Xenopus tropicalis: one gene and its partner. The protein of the gene in region 2 purifies or fractionates together with the protein of the main gene of each other region. This does not show direct contact. Links are inferred from orthologs where the notes say so. Each region holds a gene or a part of one and is shown on either strand. Other genes may lie near its edges.

What was found. Proteins that work in one complex are often made in the same cells at the same time.
Region 1: the proteins of rab3gap1 (region 2) and vapb purify together in Homo sapiens (affinity purification with mass spectrometry; 4 studies listed by BioGRID and IntAct, counting the BioPlex papers as one, with this or other methods). This does not show direct contact. The link is inferred for Xenopus tropicalis from reciprocal best matches to the Homo sapiens genes RAB3GAP1 and VAPB.

The regions. Positions count from the first base shown.
Region 1 is NC_030686.2:2,710,414-2,714,517, forward strand, and holds the start of vapb (vesicle-associated membrane protein-associated protein B/C), read left to right. Parts: upstream 1-1,304; 5' UTR 1,305-1,403; coding exon 1,404-1,461; intron 1,462-4,104. UniProt on the Homo sapiens protein: Endoplasmic reticulum (ER)-anchored protein that mediates the formation of contact sites between the ER and endosomes via interaction with FFAT motif-containing proteins such as STARD3 or WDR44.
Region 2 is NC_030685.2:84,345,216-84,349,439, reverse strand, and holds part of rab3gap1 (rab3 GTPase-activating protein catalytic subunit), read left to right. Parts: coding exon 1-62; intron 63-552; coding exon 553-780; intron 781-2,293; coding exon 2,294-2,390; intron 2,391-2,469; coding exon 2,470-2,573; intron 2,574-2,649; coding exon 2,650-2,765; intron 2,766-3,695; coding exon 3,696-3,798; intron 3,799-4,224. UniProt on the Homo sapiens protein: Catalytic subunit of the Rab3 GTPase-activating (Rab3GAP) complex composed of RAB3GAP1 and RAB3GAP2, which has GTPase-activating protein (GAP) activity towards various Rab3 subfamily members (RAB3A, RAB3B, RAB3C and RAB3D), RAB5A and RAB43, and guanine nucleotide exchange factor (GEF) activity towards RAB18.

The DNA of each region.
Region 1 (4,104 bases), on a different chromosome or scaffold from region 2:
GAGAGCGGTACCGGCGGCGGGAGAGAGCGGTACGGGCGGTGGGAGAGAGAGCGGTACCGGCGGCGGGAGAGAGCGTGAGAGAGAGCGGTACGGGCGGCGGTGAGAGAGCGGTACGGGCGGCGGTGAGAGAGCGGTACGGGTGGTGAGAGAGAGCGGTACGGGCGGTGAGAGAGAGCGGTACGGGCGGTGAGAGAGAGCGGTACGGGCGGTGAGAGAGAGCGGTACGGGCGGTGAGAGAGAGCGGTACGGGCGGTGAGAGAGAGCGGTACGGGCGGTGAGAGAGAGCGGTACGGGCGGTGAGAGAGAGCGGTACCGGCGGTGGGAGAGAGCGGTACCGGCGGTGGGAGAGAGCGGTACCGGCGGTGAGAGAGAGCGGTACCGGCGGTGGGAGAGAGCGGTACCGGCGGTGGGAGAGAGCGGTACGGGCGGTGAGAGAGAGCGGTACCGGCGGCGGGAGAGAGCGGTACCGGCGGTGGGAGAGAGCGGTACGGGCGGTGAGAGAGAGCGGTACCGGAGGTGGGAGAGAGCGGTACCGGCGGTGGGAGAGAGCGGTACCGGCGGTGAGAGAGAGCGGTACCGGCGGTGGGAGAGAGCGGTACCGGCGGTGGGAGAGAGCGGTACCGGCGGCGGGAGAGAGCGGTACCGGCGGCGGGAGAGAGCGGTACCGGCGGCGGGAGAGAGCGGTACCGGCGGTGGGAGAGAGCGGTACCGGCGGCGGGAGAGAGCGGTACGGGCGGCGGGAGAGAGCGGTACCGGTGGGAGAGAGAGCGGTACCGGCGGTGAGAGAGAGCGGTACCGGTGGGAGAGAGAGCGGTACCGGCGGCGGGAGAGAGCGGTACCGGCGGTGGGAGAGAGCGGTACCGGCGGCGGGAGAGAGCGGTACGGGCGGCGGGAGAGAGCGGTACCGGTGGGAGAGAGAGCGGTACCGGCGGTGAGAGAGAGCGGTACCGGTGGGAGAGAGAGCGGTACCGGCGGCGGGAGAGAGCGGTACGGGCGGCGGGAGAGAGCGGTACCGGCGGCGGGAGAGAGCGGTACCGGCGGCGGGAGAGAGCGGTACCGGCAGGAGGGGCGGGACAACCCGGTACCAATAAGGGGAGATCCCGCGGGTTTATATTCCCGGATATCTATGTGACATTACACAGGGCGGATACGGGGTCCCGCACATACGCTGCCAGCGCTAACTTGCCCCTCCCCCCCAGGCGCCGCCATGTTGGCCCTTGAGCCCCAGTGCGCAGCCGCGGCCCCGCCCCCAGCCCTTGCGCCTGCGCGCCGCTCACCCCCGGGCCTTGCAGGGGCCGTGACGTCACAGCAGCCTCCGCCCTCCGCCGCTTTGCTGCATCACCCGCTCCTGCAGCCGCCACCGCCGCCGGGACAGGCCCGGACCCCCAGCCCACACGGGAGACATGGCCAAGGTGGAGCAGATCCTTCAGCTGGAGCCCCAGCATGAGCTCAAGTTCCGAGGTACCGGGGGCTCTGGGGCACTCACATTAATCCTGCAATGTACGGCTTGGGGGTACTGCTGGGATACAATCCTCTAATGTACGGCTTGGGGGTACTGCTGGGATACAATCCTCTAATGTACGGCTTGGGGGTACTGCTGGGCTACATGGGTTATAATCCTGTAATGTATGGGTTGGGGGTACTGCTGGGCTACAATCCTGTAATGTAGGGGTTGGGGGTACTGCTGGGATACAATCCTGTAATGTAGGGGTTGGGGGTACTACTGGGCTACATGGGTTATAATCCTGTAATGTATGGGTTGGGGGTACTGCTGGGCTACAATCCTGTAATGTAGGGGTTGGGGGTACTGCTGGGCTACAATCCTCTAATGTACGGCTTGGGGGTACTGCTGGGATACAATCCTCTAATGTACGGCTTGGGGGTACTGCTGGGATACAATCCTCTAATGTAGGGGTTGGGGGTACTGCTGGGCTACATGGGTTATAATCCTGTAATGTATGGGTTGGGGGTACTGCTGGGCTACAATCCTGTAATGTAGGGGTTGGGGGTACTGCTGGGATACAATCCTGTAATGTAGGGGTTGGGGGTACTACTGGGCTACATGGGTTATAATCCTGTAATGTATGGGTTGGGGGTACTGCTGGGCTACATGGGTTATAATCCTGTAATGTATGGGTTGGGGGTACTGCTGGGCTACAATCCTGTAATGTAGGGGTTGGGGGTACTGCTGGGCTACATGGGTTATAATCCTGTAATGTATGGGTTGGGGGTACTGCTGGGCTACAATCCTGTAATGTAGGGGTTGGGGGTACTGCTGGGCTACATGGGTTATAATCCTGTAATGTATGGGTTGGGGGTACTGCTGGGCTACATGGGTTATAATCCTGGAATGTATGGGTTGGGGGTACTACTGGGCTACATGGGTTATAATCCTGGAATGTAGGGGTTGGGGGTACTACTGGGCTACATGGGTTATAATCCTGGAATGTATGGGTTGGGGGTACTGCTAGGCTACATGGGTTATAATCCTGGAATGTATGGGTTGGGGGTACTACTGGGCTACATGGGTTATAATCCTGGAATGTAGGGGTTGGGGGTACTGCTGGGCTGCATGGGTTATAATCCTGGAATGTATGGGTTGGGGGTACTGCTAGGCTACATGGGTTATAATCCTGGAATGTATGGGTTGGGGGTACTACTGGGCTACATGGGTTATAATCCTGGAATGTAGGGGTTGGGGGTACTACTGGGCTACATGGGTTATAATCCTGGAATGTATGGGTTGGGGGTACTGCTAGGCTACATGGGTTATAATCCTGGAATGTATGGGTTGGGGGTACTACTGGGCTACATGGGTTATAATCCTGGAATGTAGGGGTTGGGGGTACTACTGGGCTACATGGGTTATAATCCTGGAATGTATGGGTTGGGGGTACTGCTGGGCTACATGGGTTATAATCCTGGAATGTATGGGTTGGGGGTACTGCTAGGCTACATGGGTTATAATCCTGGAATGTATGGGTTGGGGGTACTACTGGGCTACATGGGATATAATCCTGGAATGTACGGCTTGGGGGTACTGCTGGGCTGCATGAGTTGTAATCCTGGAATGGGGGATGCTGGGGTGCAGGGCCAGTGGGGGCCGCTGGGGTGCAGGGCCAGTGGGGGCCGCTGGGGTGCAGGGCCAGTGGGGGCCGCTGGGGGGCAGGGCCAGTGGGGGCCGCTGGAGGGCAGGGCCAGTGGGGGCCGCTGGGGGGCAGGGCCAGTGGGGGCCGCTGGGGGGCAGGGCCAGTGGGGGCCGCTGGGGGGCAGGGCCAGTGGGGGCCGCTGGGGGGCAGGGCCAGTGGGGGCCGCTGGGGGGCAGGGCCAGTGGGGGCCGCTGGGGGGCAGGGCCAGTGGGGGGTGCAGGGCCAGTGGGGGGCGCTGGGGTGCAGGGCCAGTGGGGGGCGCTGGGGTGCAGGGCCAGTGGGGGACGCTGGATTACAGGGCCAGTGGGGGACGCTGGGGTGCAGGGCCAGTGGGGGACGCTGGGGGGCAGGGCCAGTGGGGGGCGCTGGGGGGCAGGGCCAGTGGGGGACGCTGGGGTGCAGGGCCAGTGGGGGGCGCTGGGGTACATCCCATTTCAGAACCTGCCTGAGGGAGGTCTTGTAACCATGAGTGCAAGGGGTTGCTGGGATACAGGGCTGAAGGTAGGGGGTCCCTATTATAACTGTCAGTTTGGTATGTGGGTAAAGGGCAGAGAGCTCCCTGATAACAAAGAGGAGTAGTGCCCCCTAATTATATGGGGGTTCCCTGGGGCCCTGCTGTGCTCCCCAGTCCTGATCCATTTATGCCCCCGTAGTGCCAGTAGGGTGCAGGGTGCACAGCCCCGATGCTGTATCCAATATACAGGGGGTATATATAGGGTGTAATGGGGCGCATATACTGGGGGCAGTGATACATAAAGTCCTGTCTGTGCCCCCCTCCCATTGGCTGCATTCCTTCTGACTGCTGATTGGGCAGTGTTGGCACAGTGTGTGTGGGTAGGGGACCCTGCGCCCACTCTGTGCGTTAGTGACACTGGGGGCTCGGGGTGGGGTGGGGGGGGTATTCGGTACTTTGTAACGGTGAGGAAACCACCAAGGGAGGCCGGACAATTGTAGG
Region 2 (4,224 bases):
GGGCCCACCTAAGGGCCCGGATGCAAAGCGCCTGCCTTCTGTCTGACATGGAATCCTTTAAGGTAAATGAGTGACGTCACAATGGTTGGTGCCCAGGGCGGCCATAGGGCAACGGGGACTTGTACCTCAGCATTGCCATGTCTGGTCTGATTGGTTGTAAAGTAACCGTCTCTGCACAGTTACCCCCTGCTGGGGCAGGAAAGGCTCCCACGGCAACAGCATGACGTCACAAGCCCAAGGAAGACTCACAGTGCAGGGCAGATTTCAGGACTGTGGATTTCAGACTGGCTGCTATACTCACTGCCCCTAGCAACCAGTCATTTGTTTAATGTTGCCATTATGGATGAAAAGTAGTGAGAGAATAGAAACAATAATAAGTAAATTAATATCTACCCTCGCCATCAGGTTGCTGGGGCGACGGTGCCTGTCGCTGGGGCGACTCCCAGTTTTTACAAATTTGAGCCAGGTCACTGCAGACTCAGCCAATCCCTGGCCAGAGCAATGACAAATCTGACCAATAGCAACTGTGATGTATTTTTGTTTTGCTTTCAGGCCGCCAATCCGGGCTGCTGCTTGGAGGACTTTGTCAGGTGGTATTCCCCCCGCGATTATATTGAAGAGGAGGTAATGGATGAAAAGGGCAACAAGATCGTCAAAGGAGAACTAAGCCCCCGAATGAAAATCCCCAATAACATGTGGGTGGAAGCCTGGGAAACGGCCAAGCCAATCCCTGCGCGCAGGCAGCGACGCCTGTTTGATGATACCAAAGAGGCTGAAAAGGTAATGGGTTGGGCGAGGTTTGTATTGTCAACTATATGGTCATACTTTACTGGGAACCCTATGGCAGCTCCCTCCCATATGTATAAATACAAATATACAGAGAGGGAATGTTCTGGGCACACAATAAGCTGTACCCCCATACTGTACTGTCTAAGGGAAACACTATGGCACCCCCTACCCATATGTATAAATACAAATATACAGAGAAGGAATGTTCTGGGCACACAATAAGCTGTACCCCCATACTGTACTGTCTAAGGGAAACACTATGGCACCCCCTACCCATATGTATAAATACAAATATACAGAGAAGGAATGTTCTGGGCACACAATAAGCTGTACCCCCATACTGTACTGTCTAAGGGAAACAATATGGCACCCCCTACCCATATGTATAAATACAAATATACAGAGAAGGAATGTTCTGGGCACACAATAAGCTGTACCCCCATACTGTATTGTCTAAGGGAAACACTATGGCACCCCCTACCCATATGTATAAATACAAATATACAGAGAAGGAATGTTCTGGGCACACAATAAGCTGTACCCCCATACTGTACTGTCTAAGGGAAACACTATGGCACCTCCTACCCATATGTATAAATACAAATATACAGAGAAGGAATGTTCTGGGCACACAATAAGCTGTACCCCCATACTGTACTGTCTAAGGGAAACACTATGGCACCTCCTACCCATATGTATAAATACAAATATACAGAGAAGGAATGTTCTGGGCACACAATAAGCTGTACCCCCATACTGTACTGTCTAAGGGAAACACTATGGCACCTCCTACCCATATGTATAAATACAAATATACAGAGAAGGAATGCTCTGGGCACACAATAAGCTGTACCCCCATACTGTACTGTCTAAGGGAAACACTATGGCACCCCCTACCCATATGTATAAATACAAATATACAGAGAAGGAATGTTCTGGGCACACAATAAGCTGTACCCCCATACTGTACTGTCTAAGGGAAACACTATGGCACCTCCTACCCATATGTATAAATACAAATATACAGAGAAGGAATGTTCTGGGCACACAATAAGCTGTACCCCCATACTGTACTGTCTAAGGGAAACACTATGGCACCTCCTACCCATATGTATAAATACAAATATACAGAGAAGGAATGTTCTGGGCACACAATAAGCTGTACCCCCATACTGTACTGTCTAAGGGAAACACTATGGCACCTCCTACCCATATGTATAAATACAAATATACAGAGAAGGAATGCTCTGGGCACACAATAAGCTGTACCCCCATACTGTACTGTCTAAGGGAAACACTATGGCACCCCCTACCCATATGTATAAATACAAATATACAGAGAAGGAATGTTCTGGGCACACAATAAGCTGTACCCCCATACTGTACTGTCTAAGGGAAACACTATGGCACCTCCTACCCATATGTATAAATACAAATATACAGAGAAGGAATGCTCTGGGCACATCATTGCATTATGTAATACACAGCTCTGTTTCCTGTGTAGGTTCTGCACTACCTGGCGGTTCAGAAGCCGGCTGACCTGACCCGACACCTCTTGCCCTGTGTTATTCACGCGGCTCTGCTGAAGTTAAAGGAGGAAGGTAAGTGCGTGGCTGTTGCACCCTGGCGGTGTCTCTGCCCATAATGGGCCGGGGCTGACGGTTGCTGTGCTACTTTCAGAGGCAGCGGAAGACGTTCCATCGGGCAGGAAAGCCATAAAGCAAATCATCTCCCATTCCAGCAAAGTCCTTCGTTTCCCCAGTCCTGACGACAAGAAACTGGAAGTAAGTGATTGGCCTCTTGACGCTCCGCCTTCTTACCCCTCCCCCCCCCTCTCTATTAAACCCGCTCTCTCCTCAGGACGTCATTGGCCAAATGTTGAACGTGGAAGCGACGATCGCCAGAGCGAGATCCCTAAAGGCCAAGTTTGCCGTCGACCGATGTGAAAAATCCGATGAGAAAGAGGATCTGGAAAAGTACGACTTTCTACTCGATCTTATTTAAAGGGGAAGTTCAACATATTATTTTACTGTGCCTAAGGGGGAAGACACACGGAGCTACTAGTAGCAGCTACTTGTCTCGGCTACTAAAACAGACAGTGCTGATCATTTACTGATAATTGTCTCTACGTGTGTTTAGCAGAGGCAATTCTCAGTATTGTCTATGGCAGGGGATTTTCTGGCAGCTGTGACAAGTAGCTGCTACTAAGTAGCTCTGTGTGTCTTCACCCTTAAAGCATAAAAGTGGCCTGAGGCAGTTTGCAGATGTTTTAATTTTTAAAGCAGACTGCCAGTACCTTGGCCATTGGTCTTTGTGTGAGACTTTCCATCTCACTTCAGGTCCCTGCTTTATTTGGCCTGGTTGCTAGAGTGAATGCTCCTAGCAACCACATAGTTTAAAAACCAGAAAGCTGCAGAACAGAAAATGATCATTCAGATGCCATGGATTTGGGGTCTGATACAGTCTTTCCCTAATTCTGCCTGCAGCAACACTCTCCATGCTGTGGGCCTATTCTTCCTTTGATGGTTTTAGACCTGCAGCTGCGCCCCCTTGTGTTAAAACCCATTGTGTGCAGCTGCTCCCCCTTATGTTACACCCCATTCAGTGCAGCTGCGCCCCCTTGTGTTACACCCCGTTCAGTGCAGCTGCGCCCCCTTGTATTACACCCCATTCAGTGCAGCTGCGCCCCCTTGTGTTACACCCCATTCAGTGCAGCTGCGCCCCCTTGTATTACACCCCATTCTGTGCAGCTGCGCCCCCTTGTATTACACCCCATTCAGTGCAGCTGCGCCCCCTTGTGTTACACCCCATTCAGTGCAGCTGCGCCCCCTTGTGTTACACCCCATTCAGTGCAGCTGTGAGTGGGGCCTGTTGGTGCCACATGAATATCTTTCCCTCCCTGGCAGGTTTGTGAGTTCCCTGCTGGAGCAGCCGGAGGTGCCGATCGTTGGTGCCGGGAGGGGGCCCGCTGGTACCATTATCCATAAGATGTTTGTAAGCGCTCAGAGGGTAAGTGGCCGTTCCTGCGGCTCGGGGGGGCACTTACAGTGGGGCAGTAACGGTACTTACAGATGTTCTGTTGGGCTCAGTTCTGCTGCACAGTCAGTACCGGCCGCCGCAGTTTGCGGGTTTGTTTTTAATTCCAGTACTGGTTCTGTTTAACTCTTTCACTGCTGGGCTTATTGGCCTTTCATTGGTTAATTTCATATTCTAATCAAGGCAAAATATATCATTTTCATACATTTTCCTGTCAGTGTTTCCTATTTCTCTCTGTGCCGCACCCTGTGCCCTGATCTACTAAACTGTCTTTTTGTCTGACCCTCCGTGCTGTCCTGGACTTGCCTGTCTCTGTCTCTCCCTGTCCCCTATGTCTCTCCCCCGTCCCCTATGTCTCTCCCCCGTCCCCTATGTCTCTCCCCCGTCCCCTCTGTCTCT